Caenorhabditis elegans: one gene and its partner. The protein of the gene in region 2 interacts with the protein of the main gene of each other region in a pairwise test. Each region holds a gene or a part of one and is shown on either strand. Other genes may lie near its edges.

Region 1 (5,332 bases), on a different chromosome or scaffold from region 2:
GCTAAAACAGTACCTGGAGTAATTCTATAGGCCATGAAAAAAAGAAAATTGCACTGTTTTTCCAAGTTCTATCTCAAAGATTCATGTTTTCTCTATGCAGCGAACAAACGTTTTCCTCAGAAAAATACTTGATAACTGACAATTAGTAATGCCTTCATTTTATTCTTAATAACAGTCCTCAGTTTTCAGGTTATACTTAATTCTTGAAAAATCAGCATAATGTGCAACAAGTTATGCTAAAGATTAAAAAAAATTTGCATCACCCACGAAAGACCTCAAAGACCATTCCTTTCCGAATCTCCTCACACCTTGTACCACATTGAGATAGTAAAGAGATTGGTGGAGAAGCAGAGTGCGCGTGCATGTGAGCGTGCGCTTTTCACGTTCCAACACAATCTGCGTCTCCGTGCTCTCATCTACCATTATGTCTGTGTCTCTAACTGTCTTACCAATTTTTCATTTGCGCACGTAGACAGTTTTGGTGTCTCTCTCTATCTCTCGATTTCCTCCTATATGCGTGTATGTGTGTGAAAGAGAGAATGAGAAGAAAAAGAGAGAGAAAATGAAGAGGAAAGATCTCCCGCTTCGTCATTTTCCGCGCATTGCATTTTTTGTTATGCTCTTCCAATTAACTGGGTAAAGCATCACGGACTTTTCAATTATTATATCAAAGTTCTTTTTTTTAACTATCAAACAATTATTCGATCTTCTTATGACTACTGTACCTGATTACACTTAAATTTCCTAAAACTTTTCCGAAGATCTACTCTTTTATCTATTCAAATATAAAAGAGTGATCTTTGGAATAGGCAAGAAACATGTCGCAAAAGAGTGCACCCATCTGTCTCACATTCCTCTCTCAAAACTCTTGTTCCTTCCATATCTTCTTCTCATTTCTCTTCGTTTCAATTTCTGCCCTCTTTCGTAAGGTGTGGGAATGTAAAAAAGTGCGTGACGTAATATGTTCCATCTCTTTTTCTCTGGATTGATGCAACCTTGTTTTGACACCAAACACCCTGCACAACATTTTAGAACATAAAAATTTTAAAATTGATGAATAAAAAGTTATTACCATGTGATGAAGTTCAGTCAAACTTGTTTAGCATCTCATTGGTGTTCACTTGATTGGTCATAAGATTTCTCTTTGTTTTTTCTTTGCTGAAATGTACATATTAATTCAAGTTTTGAAGAAAAAATACAGATATTCCTTATTTCAAAGCTTTGTCTCGTTATTCCCAAAAAATGTGTTTCTATGTTCATGCCATCTGGTGTATAGAGTACAATGTATCGTAAATTTGTTCAGTTTAATAACTTTTAAGAAAATCGTTCTTGATTTACCGTATCAATGATGAAGGTCGAAGTGATTTCCACCGAGAAATCCTAAAATTATTTTTAAAAATTGCAAAGAAATAGTCTGTAACTTCCGTTTTGAAACCGTTTCTTTTGTGTTACTTGAATTAGTTTAATTTTTTATATTTCTGAACTTTTCTTTCGAACGTTCTCATTTCATTTTTTTTTCAAAGGCCGATTAAGAGTGCACTTTAATTATAAGTGTTTCCGGAAACTATTGAAGAGTAGTCCATACTACACATTCCTTTTATATCAAACAATTTTTAACCTGAATAACACGTCTTTTAAACGTTGAAATCAAATTTCATTTGAAGGTTAACGGCATCAATTGACAGATAACTTTTTGAATCAATGAAACCATATTTTGTTATTACTATTTAGACAATATACCAGGATAATCCCTTGTGATTTCTGTTTTACTTCTAATCTATATTGTTTTCTTGATCAAATTTGTTCGATTTTCTTTGTCATCGTGTCTCTTTGATCCGTCCAATCACAACCACCACACATTTCTTTCACCGTTCATCTAGTACTGAGAACAGTTTTTTTCGTTTTCAATTTTTTTTTCTTAACTTCTTCGTGTGATAAACGGCAAAATGTCGTCGTGCAAATCATCAACGCTAAGATGGACATTTTTTTTAATGATAAGAGAAATGCAAAGAGAGAGAGAAAAAAGCACGAGAGAGAGAGAGAGATGAGCACACAAGACACGCAAACAATCAGTTTCGGTGCCACGTCGTTCATTTTATCACGTTCACATATTTTTCGGTTATTTTCTGATCACTGCCAGATACTGAATGTGACAGAAAAAAGTTGCAGCACATGACATGAGCAGTGCCCCAAATGATGACTGTGAGATCGACAAGGGAACACCTTCTACCGCTTCACTTTTTACAACGCTGGTATGTTAAACTACTTTAGTTAGAAAATTTAAACTCTTATTACCAACCTTTGAAAATTGAACACCTAAAATGAATTACCTAAGTGATTTTTAAACAGTTATTACTCTGTTTTCTGAAATTCACTATTCAAAAAATCTGTAAAAAGGATACTGTACTTCTGTATGTGGTGAACACTGCATCAATGGGACTAGTTTATTAAGTCTAGCAATTTTGAAGTTTTGTTTGTAGTATGGAACCCCTATTCGCATTAGAGTTAAAAATCACTGAAATCGTACATTTTTCAAAAAAGCATAACTTTTCAGAATTACATATTTGGGTCACATTAATAATGAATAATTATTCAGATGCTCAGTCAACCATCTTCTTCTACAGCTGTTTTACAGTGTACATATTGTGGAAGCTCGTGCACATCTTCCCAATTGCAAACATGTTTATTCTGTGGAACAGTGGCTTATTGTTCCAAGGAGCACCAGGTTGGTACCGTAGGGTGTATTCGTTGATCAACAAAATAATGGGGGTCCTGCTGATTAGATAAACAAGTGTTCTCACGTAATCCGTCCCTTCTCACGATGCATCTACCCTAAATCTGTTTTTGACTCTAATTCCTCCCTTCTTTTCGAATTTTTGAACTGGCTATTTATGGGAATCAAATCTAGTTCCTGTTTAAAATTATACTTTGTTTCTGACAACTACTTCCAATTATAGTTGTCTTATTTTTGTTGAATTTTTCGGAAAATAACCTGAACCTGCATATCGCGCAAGAACGTGTCGATTCGAACATTTCGGCTGGCTGCCCTCCTCCCGAGAAAGAGCTTTTTGAAGCATATGTGCGCAGACAAGAAAGACAGAAACATTTGTAGACCAATGTCTGTGTTTACTGCAAAAACATCAAAATGAAATAGGGGAAATAGATGATGACAATAGGAAGAAATTTTAATTTCGAGAAAAAAGCTGTGGCAGCGATTTTAGATTTTATCGACGGAATTTGGACGGAGGATTGTAGATAACCCAGAAAAAGTTGTGACGTTCTCAAGAACAATAGTCTAGTTATTAAAAGTATTGAAAAAGTTCTGAAACTTGTTTCGTTAAAAAATATAATTTTCAATAAGAACCACTAATAATATAATCATAGTGACCCTCTACATTTAAACTTCCTAAATTATTCAGCATAAAAGTTGGGAAATATCAAACTTTAACAAAAGACGGAAACAATTCTTAGAGGTATATGTTGTGGCCATAGTATACTATTAGACGAGAATATGTTGCTTCAAAATATTTTACTTCCTTATTTGAGTGCAACAAAAATCACAATATGATTCATTCGTATTTCTAAAACTTTTCCTCTTTTGTGTTCCCATTGTCAACTTTTTGATCTTATTACTTTTCTAGACACGTCCATCAACAACATGCAAATAAAAAATTTGTTTAGTTTCCCACGTCGTTTCATAAATATTCTGATTTATGCTCAACAACTTATTTTTCTTACTAAACATCACACCTTTCTCTCATTAGACATAACCCAAATCAAGCCACGCCCGTGCACTTTTCACAAATTGAAACATCACAAGTGTCACGTAGACAATTTTTTTAAAGCGACTTATGGATTTCAATTTTTAGACGCTTGCAATTTTTTAATTTATTTGCCATAGATGAGATCAAAATTTTGAATACAATTTGCTAAAAACACATGCAAAAACAAAATGAGGAAGTAGAGGGTATTATTCTTGTTCAGTATTTCAAATAGTTCTACAACTTTTAGTTTTTCCAATACGAAACTCAGAATCAATATCTAATTTCCAGCAACTCGATTGGCTAACACATAAAATGATATGCAAGTCACTTCAAACAAGTGGCATGGTGCCAAGTAATTTGATGCCTCAGGCAGCACCTGCTGTTATGGCTCCAATTCCACCTACTGTTTCGTTTGATGATCCTGCACTTACCACGTCACTTCTTCTATCTCTTCAAAATAATCCAATTCTGAATCAAACTATTTCAAATTTTCCGCCAACATTTTCGATCACATCGAAGACCGAACCAGAGCCATCGATTCCAATCCAAATTCCACAAAGGATATCATCAACAAGTACAGTACCGTTCAGTAGTGAAGGAAGTGCATTCAAACCATACAGAAATACGCATGTGTTTAATTCAATTTCTTCTGAATCAATGTCTTCCATGTGCACATCACATGAAGCATCACTTGAACACATGTCATCAGCTTCCCTTGCAATGTTCCCAACAAGTAGTACTGCTCAAAGTGATATCAGTAGACTCGGTAAGCTACCAATTTAACAGTTTTTTGATATAAAAGATCTTTAAGCTCAAGTTTTGAGTCTTGCTGGAGATTCACCAGCTTCGTTGGCTCTTGTCACAACTTCGGTACCGTCAACTGCTTCCACAGCAACTATTCCACCTCCAGCGACAACGACAAGTTCAGCTACAAGTTCAGGCAAAAGCGAGACAATAACTGTTGGAAAAGAAAAGATAATTCAAACTGATGATCCGGATATTCAGGTTAGTAAACGTAATCATCTAAAGTCTCATCGAAAGGCCAAAACCTTTTTATTTCCGTATTTCCATGTTAGTTTCATTGGTGAAAATACCAACTATTTGATGTGAATATGTGTATCTAGGCTCATGCCAACGTGCGGATTCTGCGAGCCCTCCCGAATTTTACGTGATTTGTGAGAAGCGTGTGTGTGTGTGGAGCGGACGGCAATGCTGCACAAAATGGCAGTTAAACCAAGCGGTTAGAAACAGAGCCACACAGCAACAAAATAAATTGGCTGGTCGGTTTTGTGCTCTCTGAGTAATTATAAAATGGAAGTGAACTCGATTTGTTTGATGTTGATAGGAACGAGTAGACAGGGATGGATCACGCGTTCAAAGGGTTCGGAGATGATAGTAGTAGACAGTGAGTCAGGTGACAGAAAAATTCACTTTTGATGAAGACTGGAAGTTTTATAGTGAGCATACTTGATATTTTTGTTATCTCTTCAGAAAATCTGATGAGCACTATTGAGTTAAGAAAATATCATGCTTTTTCATTCCGTTCAGAAGTCCTTCCGTTTAGAATG
Region 2 (5,155 bases):
TAACAGTAAACGTGAAATTATTCACACTTTTTTCCATCTTTATATACTCTCTCGTTCATCTACCAGTTTTGTATTGTCCATTCGTCCATCACAAATTCCCATTCATCCCGTCATCTGGTGTATTCTTTCCGTTTTTGATACTTTTTTGTCTGTGCCCTGGAAAAGAGTTGGATGGAAAGAGAGAGTGAAGGAAAACGATGGAAAAGAGCAGAATTAGCATAATTATGACACTTTTTCTCTCGCCTCTTCCCTATTTTTCTCAACCCCGCGCTGCTCGAATGAGAAACGTCTCGAATAGGTTTTAAAGCTTCAACTTTTTACTGTTCTAATGTTTTCATTTATTTCCAAGAATTTAGTTGATCATTCACGATTCCCATGGCTTAGGTCAAAAATTAGAAATACTTTGCGGAATTCTATCACAATGCAGTTATATTTTCACATTTTTAGAACTTGTCCTAAAATACAAGAAGTTATCTTTATTTTCAACATCTGGAAAAAATTCGTTTTCAACATCTAAAGCGACAATTGGAAAATTGTCAATTGAAAGTCATTTAGTTAGCGGCTTACATTAATACAATTGTTTGGTTAAACATATTTTTCAAACGCCCTCAAAAGTCCAAAAAGCACTCGATATTTTGGAGATTAGCAAGCACGGCATAAAAGAAACAGCAAAAAAAGAAAACGACACGTGTCATATATTTGGCTGAGAAAGTAGGGATTAGAGTGTCGAAGAAACATGACAAATGAATTGGCATTCAGAAGACGTGCATACATGGCACGACATATTGCTTCGGGAACTCCTTACACTGCATTTTTTGGTTTCCTCAATGTATATTTTGTTTCACGATCAGTCTCCGCTTGTTGTTCTTTTTTCTTATGCTCCAGTGGGAAAAATGTTAAAAACTACACCTATAGTGCACCCATGATGAAAATATCATTCTAACACTTTCCAACATTTTTTGAAAATGTTATATTTACATTAATAGCAATTAATCAGTTTCCACCTATCATAATTGGTCCAATACATTGTTTAATTTTAAGTTCGCTTCAATTATTTACAAGTGAACCTAGAACCTAGGTCTTCGCATTTGCAGCATTGCTCTAAATTAATGAAAAACTCCAATTTTTTTAATTGGCAATTTACCAACATTTTCATTTGAAAGTATTTTATTTAGATATAATAATAATAATAATTTATTACGCTCGCTGGGAGACGTGAAGGAATACAGAATACAAAAGTTATCATTGTTCGCTTGTACTAGAATTGGTGCAGTCGGGCAATTGTTTCCATTCCATTAGAATGTTGTCCTTGTCCTTGCGTTGTCCTTGCGTAGACTCCCCCATAGTGGGCGAGCGATTCCCGAGTGAAAATATGTAGATTTTTAGATATGTAGATATGTAGATATGTAGATTTTTTACTACATAATTGTAAGTCTGTGTAGATTCGAACTCCATGTTGTGTTACAGTACTTCCGAACACGATCTTAAAACTTTTTGAGCATCTCCCATTTTCTCATTTTAGGAAAAAATTTAACTTATAACTTCGAGGTGACAATTGTTAATTCTAAATTTTCCCACGTTAACTCTCTCTCTGTCTGCTTCTCTCTTGTCCCTCTTCTTCATCGCTCTAATTAATTCGCGTGTGAGACGAGAGAAGAGCATCCAATAATCCATGTCCTTTTCCCGCTTCCTCTCTCTTTCCCTCATCTTCCTATCTATTTTCCATCGGACCATGAACAATTCTGTTGCAGGATGTCATCTGAAGCAGTAGCACAAGCCACAGCCGCCACGACGTCTCCTGAACACGGGGTCCCCACATCATCGGCCACGCCTACTCCTCCGCCGAGCAAAGGGGGTGGAGCCGGTGGTGGTGGGGGAGGAGAGCAACAACAAGTCCCATTTCGTTAGTTTTACAAGAGATTTTGAATTAAAGTGTAAACAAATATACCAGACTTCAAGTTTTTTGAGTGTCATTTTTCAAATTTAGATGGTGTGTTTAAATATTCCCGGATCTTCAAAAATCTGATGTTTAGATATTTGAAAAAGCAAGACAAAATCAAATCAGTTAAAAAAAATATGAAAAAAACACAATAACACAGAAAAAAGGCTCTGAAATCCAGATAGGTTCAGTCTGATTTGCCAGCCCTAGTAAGACTATATTAACTTTTCGTAAGGAATTGCTCCTTCGTTTTGGTCAACCTTTCCTCAAATATTTTCACTCGAAGAATAAGAAAAAATAGAGGGGATATTATTGTTTTTCGAACCTTCTCGATTAAAAATTCCCTGTCTTCTCCTCTTCTTCTTATTTTTCCCCGCCGCCGCCTGACCACAAAAATAGGCTATTATTCATATGGCTGGACGTCTTTCATGTTGCCTTCCCTACAAAAATCTATTTTACACGGAAGTATAAGAAAATATTTTAAATATATTGCACTAGGAAACTTCTGTGCACAGAATGAAAATGTATGACATTGGTTATTTATATTTGCTTACTTAACACAATTAAAATAGGAAAAGCTTGTTCTTCAATATATTCGATTTTTTACAGAAATGATCCCTCCTGGTCATTTTTTCGCAAATCCCTTCTTGAATCCGTATATTCCAACAGCGGGTGCTCCTGCTCAGGAGGGTGAAGCTCAACCTCAGATGGTATTCTCTCCAGCTCAATATCAGGAAGTCATGCATCATTATTTTCAACAAATGATGGCCGCGAGTGGAGCACAGTTTCCGATTCCGTTTCCCATGCAATTTCAGCCGGCTCTTCAACAGCCAAGACCTTCTTCTCAGGTTTGTTTTATAAAGCGTTATTTTACAAAAACAATTGAAACACTGTCAATTTTTCATTAGAAGCAGTTTTTAAAACTGGGGTTGATAAGCTTTAAAAAAATGAAGGAAATGACATTAGTCATCAGAAAATGTATGTTTCGCAATTTTGGAACATTGTTGTACAACTAGAAAAGTTGCGAAATTTATTTTTGCAGAAAGAACTATTTTTAGAGCTCTCGAAATTGTTTTATTCACAATAAAAACATGTGAACTGGAAAAACCATATAATTTTCTGATTTGGCGAATTTGCCACAATATAATAACCTAAGACATTACATGCTTATTGGATGTTTGATGATGCATGGCTGACACCCGCTCGAGGCGTGTGAGAGGCGCCTCCGTCACTCTCTGCCGGCTAGAAATTCTAATTTTGATGTAACCTAGTCAAGCTCACAAGAAGTTCACAAATTCTTATTACAAAGTTATGCTTCTGCATTGATGCAGAACAGTATTTGATATTTCTAGACATTGAAATAGATCTAGAAATATATTACCAAAAGCAATGCATTTATGGCTCCCAAAATTCTCATCTGCACTTCATAACCTTCAAGTATTCTCAGGCATCATCATCTCATCGCTCAGAAGACGATAACGGAAGGCAGACAGCTGGCAGTGTTGTGTCCTCTAATGTGTCACCAAATCATCGAGAGGTTCGTTTACGGCAGAGCCCAAACACTTGAACTCACAAGCAAAACGCTGGAAATTAGGCGAAGTGATGACTTGGGGAGCTTCTTCATGTTCTTCCTGTAGCTCTAAAATAAATAAATGTGGTTCGGGAATTTAAAAGATAAAATTTTAAAAAATGTTCATTAAAATATACTTCTAGTTTAGAAATCAAACTCAGTCTTTAATTTTTAGGTGAGACCAGCAGAAGATTCTACGGAAACAAGCGGCGTTGTTCAAAATAATGGTTAGTTGGTTTTTCACTTTTAGAAATTCAGGCCAAATGCCAGAAGATCAGTCATTATCTCAAACGTTTGGCGTACAGTTTTCACAGAACGTATTAAGTTTCCTTCTTCGTCTAGTGGAATGTAAAACTCCAACTTTAAAAATTTCGAATAAATTGCATTTTCCAAAAGTTCTTCAGAAAATCTTCAAAAAAGATCCAGCATGTATCTCATTTGTCACAAGTGAGCATGTAACACGAGAACATTTTGGTGAGAAGAAGAGACAAGAGAGATATCTCTGCGTCTCTTATCATCTCACACTCTCTCTTTTTGCTCAGCCGATTTACTAATTGTTCCATGTCCGAAAGGAGTTGTACGTCTCCCACCATCATGTCTGGACGGAACTTAGAGACCACACGAAAAGTTGAAGGGATTTCCCCTGAACATTTTTCTAATTGTCAATTTTCAAACCTAAATATGTTTCAGATGAGCTTCTTGTACCAACTTCCACGTCATCCGATGTGACAATTGGTGACGTCATCGAAAAATCAGATTCTCCTGAAAATTCGCAAGAATCAGCGGGAGGAGAGGAGAAAAGTGAAGAAAAGCGGAAATTATCCGGTGATCGAACGGATTCACTCATTCGAAAACAAATGAGTGAAATGGAAAAAGAGATAACACGACGATCACAGAATAAAAATATTAAAACGGTATGTCGTTCGGTTTCGGAATTTTGAGAATTAATTCTTGAAAAAAAAAAGTTTTTCACTGAAATCTATGATCAAAGTTCCTAAAGCCAAATGTGAAAAACTCAATTTATGGAGTCACATAGTATGCGCATAGAATGTGCAAGAAACCTCCAACTTTCCCAAAAATAACAACTGTTTTCGAATATTTGGAATATGCCAAAACTTTGACACAAATTTTTGAAAAAACCTGAACATTTTTGGCTGTTGTTTTATTTCGATAGACCTTTTTTCTTTTAGACCTTTCTACATGTTTTGGCAAAATTTCCACTGGCGCTACACCACTTTTAAACAATAAGCATTAGACCATTAGAACTGTGAACTTTAGATATCGAGGCCAACAAAAATTCGAATATTTTTCCCTTTGGAACAATTGTCTCTTTCTGCACATCCTCGTAACAAATCAAATAATCTAATTTTTGTCTATCTACAACTCTCTTTTTCTACTAAATCTTTTTTGGAGACTCCTGCCCAATTTCACAAATGCACTCACTCACTTCTTCTTCTCCTTCCTTTCTCTTATTTTTTGGCCCATTTTCCACTCACTTTTTTCCATCAAAATCCTCGTTTTCCGAATTTAAAATATTGATTTTCATTCAAAAAAATGTAGAGTCAGGTTTGCTATTTAACATAGCCTATAATAATCTCTAAGAATGTTCCTAGTTTTGTTTTTTTCGGGGTCCTAATTTAAAATAC

The links.
Region 1: the proteins of lin-10 (region 2) and egl-9 interact in a two-hybrid assay, tested with the Caenorhabditis elegans proteins (one study listed by BioGRID).

Annotation. Positions count from the first base shown.
Region 1 is NC_003283.11:10,466,348-10,471,679, forward strand, and holds the start of egl-9 (Hypoxia-inducible factor prolyl hydroxylase), read left to right. Parts: upstream 1-2,169; 5' UTR 2,170-2,177; coding exon 2,178-2,252; intron 2,253-2,596; coding exon 2,597-2,725; intron 2,726-4,052; coding exon 4,053-4,530; intron 4,531-4,575; coding exon 4,576-4,769; intron 4,770-4,885; exon of another isoform or gene 4,886-4,947; intron 4,948-5,332. UniProt on the Caenorhabditis elegans protein: Cellular oxygen sensor which regulates the stability and the activity of hypoxia-inducible transcription factor, hif-1. In normoxic conditions, hydroxylates hif-1 targeting it for vhl-1-mediated proteasomal degradation.
Region 2 is NC_003279.8:8,115,911-8,121,065, reverse strand, and holds the start of lin-10 (Protein lin-10), read left to right. Parts: upstream 1-1,751; 5' UTR 1,752-1,752; coding exon 1,753-1,903; intron 1,904-2,548; coding exon 2,549-2,787; intron 2,788-3,386; coding exon 3,387-3,476; intron 3,477-3,684; coding exon 3,685-3,736; intron 3,737-4,199; coding exon 4,200-4,423; intron 4,424-5,155. UniProt on the Caenorhabditis elegans protein: Required specifically for the determination of 3 vulval precursor cell fates P5.p, P6.p and P7.p during late second and early third larval stages; required for basolateral localization of receptor tyrosine kinase let-23.